2 linked regions of the Stegostoma tigrinum genome follow. The protein of the gene in region 2 purifies or fractionates together with the protein of the main gene of each other region. This does not show direct contact. Links are inferred from orthologs where the notes say so. Each region holds a gene or a part of one and is shown on either strand. Other genes may lie near its edges.

What was found.
Region 1: the proteins of mcrip2 (region 2) and atxn2 purify together in Homo sapiens (co-immunoprecipitation; 3 studies listed by BioGRID and IntAct, with this or other methods). This does not show direct contact. The link is inferred for Stegostoma tigrinum from reciprocal best matches to the Homo sapiens genes MCRIP2 and ATXN2.

Annotation. Positions count from the first base shown.
Region 1 is NC_081379.1:23,198,907-23,209,795, forward strand, and holds the start of atxn2 (ataxin-2), read left to right. Parts: upstream 1-5,798; 5' UTR 5,799-6,091; coding exon 6,092-6,192; intron 6,193-10,889. UniProt on the Homo sapiens protein: Involved in EGFR trafficking, acting as negative regulator of endocytic EGFR internalization at the plasma membrane.
Region 2 is NC_081376.1:31,592,316-31,602,769, reverse strand, and holds the start of mcrip2 (MAPK regulated corepressor interacting protein 2), read left to right. Parts: upstream 1-5,672; 5' UTR 5,673-5,871; coding exon 5,872-5,923; intron 5,924-6,009; coding exon 6,010-6,070; intron 6,071-10,454.

The sequences.
Region 1 (10,889 bases), on a different chromosome or scaffold from region 2:
TTTCAAAATCTCCCTACCCCCCAGCCTCATCCCATGACCAACCCATCCTCTCATCCCCACCTCCTTGACCTGACAAAACCTGTCCATCTGCTCTCCTGCCTATCTGCTCTTCCCACCTAACTGACCAACCGCCACTTTTGCCTACTTGCGCTCACCTATTACCATCCCACCTACCTTGCCAAGCCCCACACCTCTCTGTATTTATTTCAGAGTTCCCTTCCCCCTCCCCCATTTCTGAAGAAGGGTCCTGACCTGAAACATCAGCTTTTTTGCTCCTCTGATGCTGCCTGGCCTGCTGTGAGTCCACACTGTGTTATCCTAGACTGTTGTGGGCATACTGTTATTCACTGTGTATGCAGGACAAAGCAGCCATTTAATTGACATCACATCCGCAAGCATCCAGTGCCGACACCCAGTAGTAGCAGCAGTGTGTACTATCTACAAGATGTGCTGCAGAAATTTACCAAAGATTCTTAGACAGTCGGTTCCAAATCCACAGACACTTCCAACTAGAAGACAAGGGCAGCAAGTACATATGAACACCACTAGCTGCCCTCCAAGCTACTTACCATGCTGACTTGGAAATATATTGCCATTCCTTTATTCTTGCTGGATCAAAATCCTGTAATTCCTTCAAGGGCAGTGTTTCAACCTACAGCATGTGGACTCCGGCGGTTCAAGGACGCACCTCATAACCACCTTATCAAAAGCAACTAGGGATGGGCAATAAATGTTGTCCAGCCCGTGATACCCACATCCCATTAGTGAGTAAAAAATTTCCCCCTTGCAAGATCCATGAGATAATTGCGATCATAAGGACTTGAATTGGAAAGGAATAAAATAACACAAAATTGTGTTTAGCGTTTGTCAATGTTTCTGGAGAGAAATAAATTCATGTCCTTCAAGAATTCCATATCTTTGTTTCTGGAATTTTTGTTCCCTCCCCCACAATATAATCTGTTACAGGCATGCCAGAACTTTATTAAATAAAAAAGTTAGTCTGGCTGTCAGATTGTCACTGCCATTGGGTGTGTAATTGAGTAGTTGCATTCAGCAGATTATAGCTTGGGCTTTCAGTAGATTTGGGCAGTGAACGTATATTTGTGGAAAGTTGAATGGAAATGTAACGTTGCCTATTTCTACGCATCTCTCAGCTCATCTGCTCAAATGTTGATCTATACTTTAATCTTAGATTTGACTATTAAATGCTTTCTTGATTGGCGCATTCCAGGTGGAAGACCGTAAATGGGATCTTAACCAAAATCCTGCTGTTTGTAAACTTACTCCTAACAAGTCCTCTTGACCTATCACCTTGTGTATTGACTTGTCTCTTGGTCTAGCAAGGCCTATTTAAAATTCACATCTTGTTTTCAAATAGCTCTGTAGCTTGCCCCTCATCCCTGTAATCTCTTCTGGCCTATCAAACTTCACGAGTGCGCATCTCCAGTTCTGTCTGTGTGCATCATTAATTTGGATCATTTCACAATTATCTGCCTTGCATTCAACTGTCTAGACCCAAGTTCTGGAATTTCTTCTCTAAACTGTCAGCCTTGCTAGCTCTCATATGGGATGACTTTTAAAAATACCTTTTTGCCCAAGCTTCATCATTTGCCCTAATATCTCTCTGCAGTTTAGTGTCTGGTTTTATTTAGTATTACTTGAGAAACACTTTGAGATGCCTTATTGTGCTAAAGACTATGGAAATGCAAGCTGTTAGTGTTAAATATGCTTGCATTTTATTTCAGGCTTAATAAAAAGTGGTTCCATATATGATTTTTGGATAGAACTACTGGTAATGATTTATTTCAATTTGATAAGAAGGATCTCATTTTTAATGCATTGATGTAATTCTTTGATCAAGTTCAACTGTATGAAACAAAATTCTGAACTAACATAAATAATTCATGTCCTCAAACTAGTATCACGAGCAAATTACTTAATTCCAACAAATCAAATTAGTTATGCTTATTTGGCTTGCTGTGGAATTATGAATTCCCCACTGCAACTATAAAAATTTTTATGCTTCCAGAATATGGATGGTAAACAATAATCGAAGTTTTAAAACAATTAGGCATTAATACAAATATGTCAAATAACTTTGTTAAGAAAACATCTTCACAGATGCTGAAAGAGCTGAGTATTTCTCGTACTCTCTTTCTATTATAGATTGTGTGATTGAGTGGCAGCTGAGGCAAATAAAAATGGAAACACAGAACTTTGTAGGCTTCAAGCTAGAAATGCGTTCCATTAGAGGTTTCTAGTCTCAAATACAAACCACATTTTTTCCCCAGTCCCCTAAATTGTTGGTATACTCATCCCACGTTGTTGGCAGTTCCTGCTGAATAAATGGGAGCTTAAGGTTAGAAATTATTAAAGTCAATATTACAGACTGTTTCTTGAATTTATGTTAGCCTATTCAACTGAAGCAGATAGGGCAGGGTGGAAGAAAGATACTGAATTGGCAAGCATATGAGATTTGCAAATGCATACAATATGGAGGTATCCCTTAATCTGTGTACCATTCTAGGTTGGACAAGGTATACATAAACTAAAAGGAGTATTTGGAGCTGTAATCTCATTGAATGGTAGAGCAGTCTTGATGGGTGAATTGTGGAAACAACCTGATAGGCTAAATGGCCTACTTCAGCTCATATCTTTTGGTGGTGTGAGAATGAAAAGTACTAGAGAAGAATTGTAGGTGATAGGAATGTTAAAGAATAAAGCTGTGTCATTGAGTAATGATCCATTCAGAAAAAGGAAAGGAAGACAAGATATGTTACATGAGAGATTACTGCAAGACGGGCAGATTAAGGTCGCCCATTGAAAGCAGGAATTGGCACAGTTGAAGATTAAGCTTAAAAGTTCCCATCAGTGGGATGGGACTGGGGACACAAACGGAATAGAAAAGACTTGGTTGAGGATCCTGACTACCATGGTTGAAGGGGTTGAGAATCCTCAAATGGGATTTTATTTCTGAATCATCTGTAAATTAACTGGAGTAAGTGGGACAGAGAAACAGGCGAAGGGGAAATAGAGATTTTTGACTTGCTGGCTGAGCTGGCTTGTTCTTGTTTAGACGTTTCATCAACATGTTAGGTGACATTGTCAGTGGAGCCTCCAATGAAGCTTCATCGGTGACTCCATTGATGATGTCACCTAGCATGGTGATGAAACATCTGAATGAGAACAAGCCAGCTTGGCAAGCAAGTCAATGACCTCCCCCACAACCTGAGCTACAGATTTTTGGTAAAACTTTGAAGGGGAAGTAGAGTTGCGAAATGAGCAGAAGGGTGATCTGGACAGAAGTAGGATTTATTATTAGTATGGTTTAGAAGGGGTGGACGCTAGGAAGTTATTTCCGTTAGGCGGGGAGACTAGGACCCGTGGGCACAGCCTTAAAATTAGAGGGGGTAAATTTAAAACTGAAATGAGACGACATTTCTTCAGCCAGAGAGTGGTGGGCTTGTGGAATTCATTGCCAGGGAGTGCAGTGGAGGCCGGGACGTTGGATGCCTTCAAGGCAGAGATCGACAAATTCTTGATCTCAGAAGGAATCAAGGGCTACAGGGGGAGAGTGCAGGGAAGTGGAGTTGAAATGCCCATCAGCCATGATTTAAATGGCGGAGTGGACTTGATGGGCTGAATGGCCTTACTTCCACTCCTATGTCTTATGGTCTTACGGATTTAGTGGGCTTTCATTTCTGGAGGTAGCAAGCAGTCCAGGAAGGGAAGATCAAAAATGGAGAGTATACAGTTCAAGTAATTGAAAACTTGAAACAATGAATTAAATATTCTAAATTGGGGCGAGTGATAGTCATCACTTTAAGAGGAAACGAGGTCAGAGGAGAACCTGAGAAGAGAGCAAGGACATGTACACATTTCCTGCAACAATATTATGAATACATTTATTTATTTTCTGTAAATCTGTTTTTAACAGTTTTGTACAAACATTTTAAGCATTTGTAATCGGCACTTTGAAGTAACAACATGGTTATTAAAATAATTTGTTAAAAAAACTTAATTACGTGGCTGGTCCTGGATCAAACTGATTGCTCTTGTCTTGTAACCCTCTATCATAAACTAAATTCAATCACTTAAAACTTATGTTTAGCAGTAAAAAAAAAGCTATGGAAGTTGCTAACTTCTAATAACGACCTAACTGATGGCTCATTAACTATTTTAGACCAATATCAATCAACCATTCCAAAACTAAAATCAAATCTGGAAAAAAACCAGAAAATTATACAAATACTCAGGAGGTCATACAGAATCTGCAGAGAGAGAAAAAGATTTATGGTTCAGATAAATGACATTTTATGAGAATGATTATCTGCTTTACTTGACCTATACGTGTATAAATTTCATGGCGGATTATATATTCTCCTGGATTAGTTTTGCCCGCCATGCAGTTGAATGGAACACGCCCAATAAATACAACCTTTTGATATCAACCGTGTCCCGACAATAGACTAATTTGAATAGGCTGTAAATTCATTGTAAGTTCTCAAATCTTTCTAATGCATCAAATTAGCATGATTATAACTAAGGTGTGAAGAACAGGCTTCAATGCGACTGTCATCTTGGAATACGAGGTACACTTGCAAAGTAGAGGTGTGATGCACAAAACTAATAGTAGATATGAGCTTTTCCCTTTGTTGATGTATAAATGTTGGTCCGAACAATTACCTACTTTCCTTGTACCAATTTATCCATGTCTGTTTACAATTACAATTTGCCTATTTACCTTCAGTCGTAGCACTCTTGCCTTTGAGCCAAGAGGTTTTGTCTTCTTTTCTCACTGCAGAGCTCCACACAGAAAAACCTGACACTGCAGCAGTGCAGAAAGAATCCTACATTGTCAAATATGCTACCTTTCAGATACAAGAAACGAAGGCTCCATGTGCCTTTTCAGGGTAATTGTAAAATATCTCACGGTGCTATTTTGAAGCAAAGCATGTGTTATTCTGGTTAGTCTAGCAACTATTTCACCCTCATCATAATATATACATATTAATTTAGTTGAGAGATAACAGGCCCGAAACGTTAACTTTCCCGCTCCTGATGCCGTTTGGCCTGCTGTGGGGATCCAGCTCCACACCTTGTTACATAATTTAGTTATTTTGTTTGCAACAATTTGCTGTGCTTAGATGGCTGCCATTTATTCGATAGCATAACATTTCATGCTTTGCGATGTCCTATTATGAAAGGTGCTATGTAAATACAAGTTGGGTGTGTTCTCAGTGAGACTAGGAGGAAATGTTGACCTTTCCTAAGAAAGAGCTGAGCAGGGTGCAATGTCCAAAGATCAACATCACAAGTAAAAATGAACTCAATTCAACCAAGCTGAGATAGTGATCACTACTCCGGCCATCTGAGAGCTTGTCCCTCACCCGCAAAATAAACCTCCGCGCTCGTCGACGAGGTCAGAAGTCCGAAAGAACAGGACCGGAGAGCAGTGGGGGGAATGAGGGCAAAGCCAAACACAGTAACAATAAAGGGGGAGGGGGGGGAAGTCCCGTCGTAAAACCACTCGTTCCCGTCCATCTCCTGGCCGTTCTTTCAGCAGCGTCGAGTCCGATGATGCAGAGCCAACTTACTTTGTGGGTGGGGGAGGGGTGATCGACCGCATTGCCGGTGTGGTTTGGGGGTAGGGGAAGGTGCGAATGCGCCGGTCGGTGGGTGCGCGCGCACACGCCGGCGTGCCCGAATCCTGTTTGTCTGCCCCTCCCCTCAAACCTCCCCCCCCCTCCGCCACCCCGACCCCTCTCTGCCCCTCCCCTCCCCCCCCCCCCCATTCTCGTCCGTTCACCGTGTTGTTGGTGGCGGCCGAAGCTTTGCGATAGCAACGGGCGTTGCGGCGCTAACTGACTTTGAGGCCTGGACAGGCGATACGGAGGCCGCATCCGTACTCTTGTCCCTGACGACGTTTTCGTATTCCTCGGCGGGGGTGGGGAGAAGGGGAGGGGGGGAGGGTTTCACTGGTGTTGTGGATGCTGGGCCGGACCTTTTCTGTTCAAGGGTTTGAAGTGACTGGAAGCGGCATCTCTCTCCCACCCCTTGCCCTCCCCCATCACCATCATCGCCCACCATCATGTCCATGAAGCAGCCCAACAGCCGAAAGCCCAGCGGCGGCATCGGGACTGGTGGAGCAGCAGCTGGAGTTGGCGGAGGAGGGAGACAGTCAGGCGGCAGGTAATGAACAGGCTCTGTGTCCCCCCCCCTCTTTCCCCTCTCTGTGTCCCCCCCCCTCTTTCCCCTCTCTGTGTCCCCCCCCCTCTTTCCCCTCTCTGTGTCCCCCCCCCTCTTTCCCCTCTCTGTGTCCCCCCCCCTCTTTCCCCTCTCTGTGTCCCCCCCCCTCTTTCCCCTCTCTGTGTCCCCCCCTCTTTCCCCTCTCTGTCCCCCCCCCTCTTTCCCCTCTCTGTCCCCCCCCTCTTTCTCTATTGGTCCAACTTTAGCCCGAGGCTCTGGAGGCGGCCTTCTGTCACTGATGGGCCCGCCTTTCCCCTTCAATATGCCGGGCCCCGCGTTACCGAGAAACGAAACGGTAGTGTCCAGGCCTTGCGCTCAGGCCTCATCTTCCAGCGGGTTAATGCCGCTATGAGGATGCGGCCTACACGCCAGAAACCATAGACATCTGTATTCGGGCGGCTTTTAAAATACAGCCATTAAGCAGATGTAGATTAACCAATGCTTAAAGAGGATACATTCCTTTAGGGAAATCCGTTAGGTGCGATACAGCGTCAGTGTTCAAAGTTTCTTAGACCTTTACATTTTCTTCAATCTCAACAAAAGTATCTTTATGAAACGGAACTTGTTCAAGGTTTAAACCATTGTCAATGAATATTCGTTAGACACGAACATATCGAAATGCAGAACAATTATTACAATAATCTTAAATTAAGATCATACTGAGAATTTCAAAGTTACTTGTAATTCGTCAATAATGCAGAGTTATGATGTGACATTAAAATCAGAACAATTGTATTCAAAAGAACAATGTCTTGTATGTTACATGACGATTTAAATAACCGTACTGTTTTAGTGAGATTGACTGTGCGTGAGGAATATTAAGCTTTCTACAAAAATTTGTTCCTTGCAATGAATTTGTGCTGTACGTTTTGTGACAGTGCTGTACATACAATGCGAACATTTTACAGAATATTATGAAATTAAATATATTTATCCTCTAATAGTTAAAATTGAGCTGAAGATGTACTTCAGTGGTACTCTGAAAAACTAAGTTTGTGTATGCTTCAGCCCATGTGTTGCAACAGAGTTGATGACTGGCATTTGAATCATATTTACATTGGTTTTTATCTCCTTATTACTAAATGATTTAACCCTTTACTCCATTAATGATACCAGTGTTTTTGACTCATAATAATTATATAGTATTTTGAAGTTAATTATGAAAGTTCCAAGTATTTTGTTCCTTACAACTATAATTATATACTTATCCTCTCTGGAATGATGAGCTTTCCTCTTCCCAACAGTGGCAGATATTTTGTTAGATTTGTGTTTAGTTTGTACTGATCGGTTTGACTTGTTTATTTTTGAAATTTGTGTTTGGCATTGTATTGATTTCATTGCTTTTGTTCAAAGATGTGCAGGTTAGGTGGATTAGCCATGGGAAATACAGGGTTACAGGGATCGGGGTGAGTAGGTCTGTGTCAGATGCTTTTTGAATGCTCGTTGTGGACTTGATGGGCTGAATAACCTCTCTTAGTGTAAGGATTTTATGATCGTGTCAATGTGAATGAGTTTAATTATACATGCCAAAACAAGAGGAACTGTTGTTTCTTAAGCCTTTCCTCAAATATTTCTCTTCCATTGGGGAAAAAACACTTTCTCACTTTTAAGGACGTAATACAAATAGCTTTGCTTCAAATAATTGTCTTGGAAGATTTTTGGCTCTGTTTTCACAAGACAGATAATTTTAAAATTTAAATCATCGGACATGTAACCAAGGTGGAGTCGGAAATAACTCAAAGCTTTTATAGTAATTTTCCTTTTATATGTTAAAATGAATAGTTGCCTGATTTGACACCAGTTCACAATTCATCTTCAATCTGCCCATCTCCTGTGTGATTTGCTTGATCTTTCAACATCTCCTTGGACCACATGAGATATCGTAGGTTTAAAAGCCCCTAATCCCCATATCAAGCCTTTTGGAGCTTTTCAACTCAAACTACTGTTTGAAAAATCATATGTACTTGGCAAATCAGCGCTTATTCACTTATATGTTTAGGCATTTGCTTGCAGCCAGGAGAAAGTGAGTGAGGTAAAAACTTAGATTTTTTTCCTGCTTTTCACAACGTCAGAATGCCTAAAACATTACAGACCTAATGAAATACTCTTTCTTTAAATTGTAGCTACTGTAATGTAACAAAATGTGACAACCAATTTGTTCACTGCCAAAGAAACAAGATAAATTATGAAGCATATGTATTGGGCAGGACACTGAAGAACTTCCCTGCCTATCGTCTTGTATGGAGAACAGCTGGGTTTTTTAAATTCCAATAATTCAGTGCACACTTTATTTAGGTCAGCCTTCTATGGGGCCAGAAGTCTGGAGTTTACCTTGAATTTGTTATTTCCTGGCTGAGAAGTCTGTAACTTACCATTGAATAAAGGCTATCAGTTAGTTTTTCAATTTGGTTTCTCTGACACAATGTAACAAGGTGAAAAATAGTATCTTGCTAATTTCCAGGACAGATCTTTTTCTCTTGCATCCTCAAAACCCTTTCTCTGTTTGTCCTAACTCCGTTACCTTACAACTGCTCATTCGAGATTGGAAATGACTGTGAAAGTCATTCTCATGTTGGTCTTTTCAATCACGGCAAGAAAATGTCTTAAAACCTACTTGTTTAATTTGAGCCAAAATGTATGATAATCCACTTTGGTATACTGTCCTTGTGGATTTATGTTTGGATGAGGTGTGGCTGTTTGTTCACTCTAGTTTCACAGAATCCCTGATTGAAGCATAACAGATTCTACATTTATTTGCTATTTATTCGATAGTAAATGAACAACAAGGCCTTTTTTATGAATCTGGGCTACAGTTGTGGACCTTGATCTGAGAGGTGCATAAATTTGGTCACAAGTTCCTAATCTATACTGGATGACCTGCCCTTTCTGACTGGCAAGTGCCAGCAGTGATCCTTTGTCAAATCTGTTGTGTATCCATTGGTCTATTTCACTCAACAGTTTTTAAGTGAATGCAGTGAACATTTATGTATTGTTGGACTGCCATTCAGATCATCTATCTTCAACAGCAGTTTGGAAAATGTACACTTCTATTTTATACCTTCCTCTTCAAATTTTCCAACTTTGAAACAGTTTTTTATGATTTGCTTGCATGCATTGTCTGGATTGCATATTTTGCAAACATCATGCGATTTCCTGATTAGAAAGTGTTTACCTAATCTTTTACATCACAGTCACAGCATTTAGTTGGTTGTAAAGAAATTTAGGAACTCCTGAGGTCATGAAAGGCTGTAAATTTTTTTTCCCTGTCTTAAACAATTTTGCTAGTAAAGCTATGGTTCTTAGATTTAATGTTTATTATAATTATACTGAGAGGGAGAAGCAGTACTAGTTGTGACTATATATGAAAGCTGCTTTTGGGGCTGGGCCTGGATGAATTTTGAAATAAAATGGTTTGGAATCATAGAAATGGGCAGAGGGTTCTTTATCCTTTGCATTTCTCTTGGGTTTTAATACAGACTCTTCATCAGGTTGTCTGGTGGCTGGTCATGTTTATAGTGGACCCTACAGTCTACTTTGTTTCTAGATTATGACCAACTTTGACAAGCATCTTCCAAAGTGTTTGTATTCAAGGTGAATGTGTTGTCTAGTTGACTTCGCTCTTCATAATCAATGTGCACTAAATGCCATGTTGATCCAGTTGTCAGCAATATGGTAAGGATCCTGTAGTATTGGTCAGGAGACAAATGTAGGGCTTGGGTTAGCCTTCGAATTGCTCTTCACTTGGTTACACTCAGTCATAGCCTAGTTAAACTAACTGTATAAGATTAATCCAGAAGCTGTGGAATTAAATTTGATGGCAGCTTTTCTCCTCCATTCTCTCTTTGGTATTTTGTTATGTTCCTCAAGACATTCTGCCCATCACTGGAAGTCTGAAGTAATAAATGTTGAGTAGTCATTATATAATGGTAGGTGGACACCGCTGGGTGAGAAGATTATCAGTTTTTAGATAGGAGTCCAGAAGTGAGACCTTTCATTATCAGCACCGGTCACAAGGTCTCTGCATTTACTGATAAAGTTGACTTGCCGTCTAGAAGGTAGTGAGGTTAGATGCGAGTCATTAAAATTTTCCTGTTTTGCCCATCCTACAGTTTTTTGAAAGAGAAATATTCTTTCCACCGACAGCATTGGTCATTGACCTATCTAAATTTCAGTTATGTAAAGAAATTGAAATGGTAGAAACAGGATTTTATGTTTTGATAAGCATAGACTGTTTTATTAATTCTGTACAATGCATGCTGCGTCTGATGTGTCTATTGTAAAGTGTGGAAAGAGGACTGACATCAGGGCTGGTGGAGTTAAAACCATGGAAAGTAACTTACCCGTTGCTTAAAATTACGCTTTTAATTACACTTGTCATTTCCACAAGTGACAAGCGTGAATTTAACACTCTAGCTGTAGACATTGACATGTTTCTCCCTGTTTTCTTCTTCAGCCCCATCCCCAAAATGTTAAAGGAATTGTGACAAAATATTTGAATTTGTTAATTTAGAAACAAGTGTTGATTCCGTCTTTACTTCCAAAGTTTTTGATTTTCTAGGAAATCATATTCCACTGACTGAGCTCAGATTTTAACTTGTGTTTACACAATGAGTTCTTGATAATTCAGGTCTCGTTACTTA
Region 2 (10,454 bases):
CTATCCGGTCACTCCCTCAGCCTCTAATGCGCTAGCAAAAATAATCCAAGTTGTCTAACCTCTCCTTATGGTCAAAATACGCCAATTCAGGCAATATCCTGGTAAATAAAATGTGAGGCTGGATGAACACAGCAGGCCCAGCAGCATCTCAGGTAAACCTCTTTTGCACTTTCTCCAAAGCCTCCAAATCCATCTTATAGGGTGGTGACTAAAAAAAATTCCAAATGTGGCCTAAGTGAAGTTTTATACAACCATAAGATGACTTGCCACCTTTATAATCAATGCCCTAACCACTGAAGGCAAGTGTGCTGTACATCTTTACCATGTTGTTCACTTGTGTTGTTGCTTTCAGAGAGCTATGGACTTGTACCCAAGGTACCTCTGTACATCAATGCTCCATTTACTGTGTTGCCTGTGAAATATGTTACACAGATACCTCAAACAGTTTGTTACTCATAAAATGTGTTGACTCGGGCACTGATACTGTATGAGACAAACAATGGACTATAATTCAAATGTAGTTTAATTAAAACACTCGCAATTTAAAGAAGTAACTCCTGAACAATAAATTCAGTTAAAATTTCCCCAAACTAGTTTGATTGCCTGAAAAGTACATACATTACCCTGCTCTGGTGAACTTTATGGGGTATGTTGGATTAAATTCACTGAGCTTTGTTGATGGGTACAGTCAGAGTCTTCTTGGTACAAAGGTGGACCTTGCAAGGAGTCTTTGCCGGTGAGTTGTCACTGATGTAGCTCATTTACGATATGTTCAAACCTTGTACGATTTTTGAGTTATACGAAAGCGCAGAGGGCCTATAGTTCCCACTGCATTCTCCATGCAATGCTTCAGCCTATCAGAGCTAATTTCTGAAGTAATCACTGCCCTTTCGTCTTTGCTCTAAATTGCCTCACTTTTCAAATGTCCTGCACTATCAAGCATTGTTATTCAAAAATTATAATTTATACCCTTATAAGTGATATAAACTCATAAGTACTTTTGAAACATTTTAAATAATTACAGATGGTGTAAATATTTTCAAGTAATCACACATGTTCCTTATTTTAGAGCTTGTGGGGCATGACGGTCATTATAAAATCATAATAAAATAGATAGGGTTACTGTGTCAATAGGTGTCTTTTGCCTAAAGTGGGGGATTTTGAGACCACAAGGTACTTTTTTAAGGTGAAAATAGAGAGATTTTAAAAAAGATATGAGGGATTTTTTTTTACTCAGAATATGTGGAATGACATTCTACGTAGCTATGGAGAAGGAGAGGATTAGGCAAAATGGGAGGATATTTAATTGGGGAAGAGGAAACTATGACGCGATTAGACACAAGTTAGGAAGCATGGACTGGGAGCAATTGTTCCATGGTAAGGGAACTATAGACATGTGGAGACTGTTTAAGGAACAGTTGTTGCGAGTGATGAGTAAATATGTCCCTCTGAGATAGGCAAGAAGGGGTAAGATAAAGGAACCTTGGATGACGAGAGCGGTGGAGCTTCTTGTGAAAAGGAAGAAGGTAGCTTACATAAGGTGGAGGAAGCTAGGGTCAAGTTCAGCTAGAGAGGATTACTCGCAGGCAAGGAAGGAGCTCAAAAAAAGGTCTGAGGAGAGCCAGGAGGGGGCACGAGAAAGGCTTGGCAGAACGGATTAGGGAGAACACAAAGGCATCTTACACTTATGTGAGGAATAAGAGAATGGTCAAAGAAAGAGTAGGGCCGATCAGGGATAGCATAGGGAACTTGTGTGTGGAGTCTGAGGAGGTAGGGGAAGCCCTTAATGAGTTTTTTGCTTCTGTCTTTACGAAAGAAACAAACTTTGTAGTGAATGAAACCTTTGAAGAGCAGGTGTGCATGCTGGAATGGATAGAGATAGAGGAAGCTGATGTGCTGAAAATTTTGTCAAACATTAAGATTGACAAGTCGCTAGGCCCGGACCAGATTTGTCCTCGGCTGCTTTGGGAAGCGAGAAATGAAATTGCTTCGCCACTTGTGAAGATCTTTGCATCCTCGCTCTCCACTGGAGTCGTACCTGAGGACTGGAGAGAGGCAAATGTAATTCCTCTCTTTAAGAAAGGAAATAGGGAAATCCCCGGCAATTACAGACCAGTAAGTCTCACGTCTGTCGTCTGCAAGGTGTTAGAAAGGATTCTGAGGGATAGGATTTATGACCATCTGGAGGAGCATGGCTTGATCAAATACAGTCAACACGGCTTTGTGAGGGGTAGGTCATGCCTCACAAACCTTATCGAGTTTTTTGAGGATGTGACTAGAAAAGTTGACGAGGGTCGAGCTGTGGATGTGCTGTATATGGACTTCAGTAAGGCATTTGATGAGGTTCCCCATGGTAGGCTCATTCAGAAGATCAGGAGGAATGGGATACAGGGGAACTTAGCTGCTTGAATACAGAATTGGCTGGCCAACAGAAGACAGCGAGTGGTAGTAGAAGGAAAATATTCTGCCTGGAAGTCAGTGGTGAGTGGTGTTCCACAGGGCTCTGTCCTTGGGCCTCTACTGTTTGTAATTTTTATTAATGACTTGGATGAGGGGATTGAAGGATGGGTCAGCAAGTTTGCAGACGACACAAAGGTCGGAGGTGTCGTTGACAGTATAGAGGGCTGTTGTAGGCTGCAGCGGGACATTGACAGGATGCAGAGATGGGCTGAGAGGTGGCAGGTGGAGTTCAACCTGGATAAATGCGAGGTGATGCATTTTGGAAGGTCGAATTTGAAAGCTGAGTACAGGATTAAGAATAGGATTCTTGGCAGTGTGGAGGAACAGAGGGATCTTGGTGTGCAGATACATAGATCCCTTAAAATGGCCACCCAAGTGGACAGGGTTGTTAAGAAAGCATATGGTGTTTTGGCTTTCATTAACAGGGGGATTGAGTTTAAGAGTGGTGAGATCTTGTTGCAGCTCTATAAAGCTTTGGTTAGACCGCACTTGGAATACTGCGTCCAGTTCTGGTCGCCGTATTATAGGAAAGATGTGGATGCTTTGGAGAGGGTTCAGAGGAGGTTTACCAGGATGCTGCCTGGACTGGAGGGCTTATCTTATGAAGAGAGGTTGACTGAGCTTGGTCTCTTTTCATTGGAGAAAAGGAGGAGGAGAGGGGACTTAATTGAGGTATACAAGATAATGAGAGGCATAGATAGAGTTGATAGCCAGAGACTATTTCCCAGGGCAGAAATGGCTAGCACGAGGGGTCATAGTTTTAAGCTGGTTGGTGGAAAGTATAGAGGGGATGTCAGAGGTGGGTTCTTTACACAGAGAGTTGTGAGAGCATGGAATGCGTTGCCAGCAGCAGTTGTGGAAGCAAGGTCATTGGGGTCATTTAAGAGACTGCTGGACATGCATATGGTCACAGAAATTTGAGGGTGCATACATGAGGATCAATGGTCGGCACAACATTGTGGGCTGAAAGGCCTGTTCTGTGCTGTACTGTTCTATGTTCTATGTTCTATGAACTTTCTGAGGAAGTAAAGGATGCAGGCACAGTTACAACTTTTAAAAGACATTTAGAGAAGTACATGTATAGGGAAGGTTTGGAGGGATAAGGGCCAGGAACAGGCAGTTGGGACTAGATTAGTTTGGGATTATGTTCAGCGTGGCAGTCCAGAGACATGCAGGTTAGGTGGATTGGCCATGCTAAATTGCCTATAGTGTCTGGGAATGTGTACTTTATGTGGATTAGCCATGGGAGATGTGTGGTTGCAGGGATGGGTGAGTTTGGGTGGGATGCTCTTTGGAGAGTCATGTGAACTTGTTGGGCCGAATAGCCTTTTTCCATACTGCAGGAATCCAATGACGGATTCTATGAACTATCAATGGTTGGACTGTAGGTTCTATTTCTGTGCTGTAAGACGCTATGACTCTATGTTGATTGGATAGCGCACAGATGTTCAGTTGCAGTTGGTGGCTCGATTGAATGATCTGACAGTGACCAGTTAAATGCTCCCACAAATTTGGCTGAGTTAGGTGGTCTAGGTTACTGGGTTAAAAACATATGAACATACAAAATAGAAGCAGAATTAGGTCATTCAGCCCCTTGAGCTTGCTCCACCATTCAATAAGATCATTGATGATTTGTTTCTACCCCAGTAAGTTTTGATTCTCTCAACAAACAAAATTCTATTTCCCTTTGCCTTAAAATCTTCCAATCTTCTGAGATGGAGTTCCAAAGCCCAGAAAATAAATCTCCTAAACTAGGTCTTAATAGGTCACCCCTAATTTGAAAACTGTGTCCCCTAGTTCTGAGGTCATTCTCAAGAAGAAAATCCTGTCCACCTTGTTACGATCTTTCAGGATCAAATATACTTCAGTCTTCACTCTTTTAAACTTCAGTTGAAGCAGTCTGACCAACGTATCCTCATAAAACAATCTGCTTAGTCCAGGTATCACCTAATAAACTTCCTCTAAACCACCTCCAATGTATTTTCATCCTTGACAAAGGAAATCAAAATTGCATTCCAGTATTTAAGATGTGATCTCATTAGTGTTCTGCTTTACTGAAATATAATATTCTCATCTTTATGTTCAATTCCTCCTGTAATAAGCAAAGGACCCAATTAGTCTTTGGTTATGTGCCATACCTGCATAGCAAAGTTTTGTTCTCATGCAGTAGAACACCTAGACCCTTGTGTAAGCCTAAATTCTGCAGTCATTCTCTAGGTAAGAAATACTTTCCTTTTTCTTCTTTCCTAACAGTTAATGATTTCACATTTTCCCACATTATACTCCATCTGCTGGATATTTTGCTCCTTTGCTCCATAATCATCTAAAAACTTGTTAGGTCTTTTACAGGGATAGTAGGAACGGCAGATGCTGGAGAATCTGAGATAACAAGGTGTAGAGCTGGATGAACACAGCAGGGTCGAGGCCCAAAACTTCAGCTTTCCTGCTCCTCTGATGCTGCTTGGCCTCCTGTGTTCATCCAGCTCTTCAACTTGTTCTGTCAGGTCTTTTACAGAACTTACTTTCCTATCTGTTTTGCAAATGGTTGAGGGTCCAGCACAGACCCCTGTGTCACATGGCCATGCCAAACAAAAGGGCCCTGTAGTGTCCAGAGATGTGCAAGTTTGCTGTGTTAGCCATGGTAAAAACCCCATTCTGGGATATGGGGATGGGTTTGGGCAGGGGAGAGGTCTGGATGAGATGTTCTTTAGTGAGTGAGTGCTGACTTGATGGGCCAAATAGCCTCTTTCTGCACTGTAGGGATTCAATTATTCTACTCTGTGACAATGGGGCAACTTTTTCACACATAGTTCCATACACACGCCACCCTATCTGCCACAGGAAATGGTGGAGGCAGGTACATTACAACATTTAAAAGACATCTGGATGTGTAGATGAATAAGATGGGATTCGAGGGATACGGGTCAAATGCTGGCACATAGGACTAGATTAATTTAGATATGTGGTCAGCATGGATGAGTTGGACCAAAGGGACTGTTTCCATGCTGTTCATCTCTATGACCTATATGCATACTTTCCATTCTCCGCCAGCCAACCAATCTTCTACGTCCAAACGTGTTACCTTTATACCATAATTTTTTTTATTTTATTGGGTCGAATTCAGTGGTTCTGGGTGGGATTTCCCAGATTAATGCGTTAGGTTGGGCGATCCCAGCTGGTGGGTGAGGTTGGAGTTGTGTGATCCTGGAAGTTGGATCCAGTTGGAGTTGGATTGGATTGGATGGACTCCGGGAGTTTGGGCTGTGTGTTTCTCGGTTGTGGCTGAGACTTTCCTGGAGTACACTGTAGGGCTGGGCATCAGGGAGGCGGATCCCTTTCAGCTGGGGAGGCGGTGACTGTGTCCCGGACCGGACTGTGCCGGTGCTGCATACCGAGAGGTTGTTCCTGACCATGTACACCATTACCCGGGGACCCAGTAGGCTGGCTACACAGCGGAGGACGGGTAGGAGGCAGCGCCGCGCAGCGCCCCACTCGGCCCAGCGCACACTTTTGGCTCCTTCTCACACTCTCTCTCTCTCTCTAACGCAGGTCCATCCCAGCAGATCGAAGCCAAGTCCGGTTGTGACCTCAAGCTGAAACCGGTGGGGAGGTAAGTTGAGGAGTTCGGGTGGGGACTCGGGCAGGCGGTGTCTGGCAGTCCAGCTCTGTGACCTTGCGGTGAAGGTGACATTTAGGCTGGGGAGCTCGCCACAGGAGCCGGCCTTATCTTCTCGCTCTGTCCCGTAGAGATCATTGACCGACACAGATTAGGTAGCGCTCTGGGTTTGTGTTACAATCTGGGACAGAGTACTCTCTGTGTGTTACAATGTAGCACTGTGCTCAATGTGTAGTACTCTGTGGGGCTGTGTGTTATAATGTGGGCCACTGTGTTTGGTGTGGCTTATATAACATAGGAGGGTGTCTGTTGCATAATATTCGAGCGGTATCTCTTGTACAATATAGGAGCATGTGCTCGTGTGTTATAAGGTGGAGCAGTATTCTGTGGGACAGTGTGTTGTAATGTAAGTCACTGTGCTCAAGTGTATGTTGCATGGTGCAGGATAAAAGACAACCCACACTCAGCACACTGCCACCTGATGCTGTGCACATAAGCCAGTATTCTGCTCCACAATTTACAACACACAACCAGTACAATGTAGAGCAGTATGTTGCATGTGAGCACTGCATTATATGGGACAATGTGTTGGTTGGGTGTGTATTGTGGGACAATACTTTATGTGTATTGTGTTAAATTACGTGGAGCTGTGTGTTCTGTGTATTTTAACATTTAGACCAAGGTACTGTGTCAGTGTGTTATTAAAATGTGGAATTGTATTTTTGGTGCAAGTGCTTAACATGCAACAGTATGATTGTTATGTGTTGCTTACCATGGATTAGTGTAATCGTAGTGTGTAGAGCCCTATGCTGCATGTCTGTATAATGTGGAGCAGTGTGCCTGGTGTGTGTAGTGTGGAATAGCATGCGTTGTATAATGTGAATAATTTGACCTTCATGATTGGTTTTGCTCGTAGGCAAACACTTACTAGTGAATAGAGGATTGCAACATGTTACTGCACAGTGTATGCTTCAACTGAGAGAACAAGAACGGGGTAAAGACCAAGCTAGCTACCCAATTGTGGAGTAGGAACAAACTGCAGGTTTTTGACTTTGAGCCCAATATGAAAATACGATATCCTATTTCCCAAGGCTGTTATAACATTTAAAGTACTTCACAACTTTATCTTTTCAGTTGTGTCCTTATCATTGAACTGCTTGTCGGTGATAAAGAATTACTCAACACTTAAGATTTCCTGACTCGGGACATTGACAACTGCATGCCATTATGTGTCCTTTACCTTTTACCCACATACTGGTTATGTTGGTCTTTTTAGTTTTTAATGAATTCCAGTTTCGATGATGGCTGAATAACACTTATAGACCATGAAATATCACCCTTAATCCAACATTTCCATGGCCATACTGTTGGAGGTCTTGTGCCCGTTATGATATTTGAAGTGGAAAACTTTGCTGACTCTGGAAGTCTGCTTGTCTACTGTCAGCTGTACTCTACTCATATAAAGACCCCTATTGATCTGTTTCAGATTCAGGCTCTTGATCTCGGCAGCAGTACCTCACATTACTAACATGGTCAAGTGAGGATACCTCTGTGTTGCTCGTGGATATAACTGCCTGTAGTCTGTATTCAGGTCAAGCAGACAGCAGCTGTTAGTTTGCCAGGGTTAAGGTTTGGGTTTCACTGATAGATATGTGCTGAATAGAGACAGATTTAATGTTTTCCTAAAAGTAAACCAAGATGTTGAGCAATTACCACCCATTTCTGTCAAACCATAGGAGTGTGTGCGAGAGAAAGGGTATTTTTTATTGTGTTTGTATTCTTCAAAAAAATTATATTTTCTAAATGAGAGATAATAGGAACTGCAGATGCTGGAGAATCCGAGATAACAAGGTGTAGACCTGGATGAACACAGCAGGCCAAGCAGCATCTTATGAGCAGAAATTAGGAGCAGTTATTTTCTAAATAACCTGTTTAGAGATGTTATTACATGTTTCTGGTAGGACTTGAATCTGGGTTTTGCTTTATGTTATTCAGAGCCCCCTTATGTTTGGTCTGTCTGCTAGGCATCTCCTTGCTGTTTTAAAGAACGCAACACAAAAGTACCAGAATGACTGAAGGGGCCTGTGTACATCTGAAACATAGACCAAAGGTTAGGGGATATTTGTTGAATGGACTTTTATCTGAAAGACAATCTAACTGTTAACTTCGTGCCTGTCAGTATTCTAAAGTTTTGTTCCAGCTTTTAGTTTGTTTTCCTTTAGTGTGCAATTTCAGAAGGTTTGACGCCAAGTCCAGTAAAGCTAGTGTCCTGATTCAGACCACAACTCCTTTTCTTCTCTTCAATTCCCTGCAAAGTTTCAGCCCTCCTTCCTTATTGGGTCAGTACATCTCCTTCCTAGAGTCAGAGTCATATAAAACACAAACATCCCCTTCAACCCAACTTGTCTGTGCTGTCAGGATTTCATAGATGTCCTGATGGAGAAATTACCTGTATTTCCTTGGTAATCCACAGGGTAGATTTACTATGGAATTTCACTTTGTTCTGCCAGTAAAGGATCTGCATTCCTGGAGAGAGGTTAACTTGGCGTTTACAGTGGTGTCTGTCACAGCTGCCTTGGGTCTTTTTCAAGCAGCGTCATTCCTTTTTCCTACAGCTGAGGAGAGGCTGAGGAGAATTCCTATTTTGGGGTGCACTGATGTCCCAAGTTGGGGCCACAAAGGAAGGAGGGTAACTGTGCATGCATTCCTAACTTAAATATTCCAGAAGGCCTGAACTGCTGAGAGCATAGAGGTACCGCACAAGAACAGGCCCTTCAGCCCACCATGTCTGCACTGACCATGATGCCATTCTAAACTAATTCCATCCCCCTCCCCTGCCCAGTATTTGTTATTTCCACAATGGGAAAAACATTTCCAACTATCCACCCTATCCAAGTGTCTCATTATTTTAGCTACTTCTATCAGATTGCCCCCCAGGTTTTAACACTTCAGCAAAAACAGGTTTGTCCAACCTCTGTTTAGAGCTAATTCACTCCAATCCGGTCAACATCCTGGGAAACCTCTTTTGTACCCAGCCCAAAGTCTCCACATCCTTCCAATTAGTGTGCTGACCAAGACTGCACACAATACTCCAAATGTGGTCAAAGATTTTATACAGCTGCTACAGGATTTGTCAACTTTTATGCTCAATACCCTGACCGTTGAGGGCAAGTAACTTGCACACCTTTTTTTTTGTATCACCTTATCCACTTGTGTTGTCACTTTTGGGGAGCTATGGACTCGCATCCCAAGATTCCTCTGTATATCAGTGCTCTTAAAGGTCCTGCCATTTACATGCTTTCCTCTTGCATTTGAATAGCTGCTCACAATTGGTTAAAAAGTGACATATTTTGGTAGGAACAAGAAGAAGTACTGATCCCATTTTAACTCTTGAAAATTAACATGGTCCCAAATGCAAATGAAAACAAAAGCTTTGTTTGACAGTGTTGTTTGAAATGGATAAAATTGTAAACTTATTTCCCTCACCTCTCTGCACGTTACTTTAATTCTATTGATTGTAACAGGTAAAATCAAAAGGTTTACATAAATGTATGATATTTCTTTGCCTGTGCGAGTTAGAAGGATTACCTCAAAAGATGTATTCTGAGCTAATTGAAAAAGTCAGTGCAGGAGTAGGCTGTCCAGCCCTTCAAGCGTGCTGTGCCATTCACCGTGATCATGGCTGATCCTCTATCTCAGTGCTGGTTTTCTTTCATACCCTGAGAATCTTAAAAATTTATTTGAAAGATAATTAAGGTTGTTTTTATTGTACTCACCACTGTGAAAGCTCATCTTTTCAACATTGGATAAATGTGGTTTCCTGACTTGTTCTTGTTTTCAAGTGTTAAGTTTAATTGATTTAATGCTTTTGCTGAACAGGAGACAAATGAAACATTTTGGCTTTTCTTCAGATTTGACAAGAACATTTGTGAAAGCCTTGAAATTGTTTAGCGGATATTAAGATGTAGACCTGCAGAGGGCCACTGGTTATATTTTGGTTCCTTTTGTGTACCTGTGCTAACATTGCCAGACCTCACTTCTTTGATATTCTGAAACTTTGGTTAAATCACAGGTACTGGCTGTTTCTAGTTAGTCACATAAGAGAGGAGAGCACAACTTGCAATCAGTAAATCAGTATCTTGGTAAACCAGAATTAATTCATGCAGTCATAGGTTTCTTATTGTATTGTATAGTTCAGCCTGTGTTTACAACTTTTAATTCAAATGTATTCATCTGAATTAAAAGTTTATCAATTTAATTCAGATTTGGACAAGCATATGGACGTACATGGAATAGTGTAGGTTAGATGAGGTTGAGATCGGTATGACAGGTCGGCACAACATCAAGGGCCGAAGGGCCTGTACTGTGCTGTAAGGTT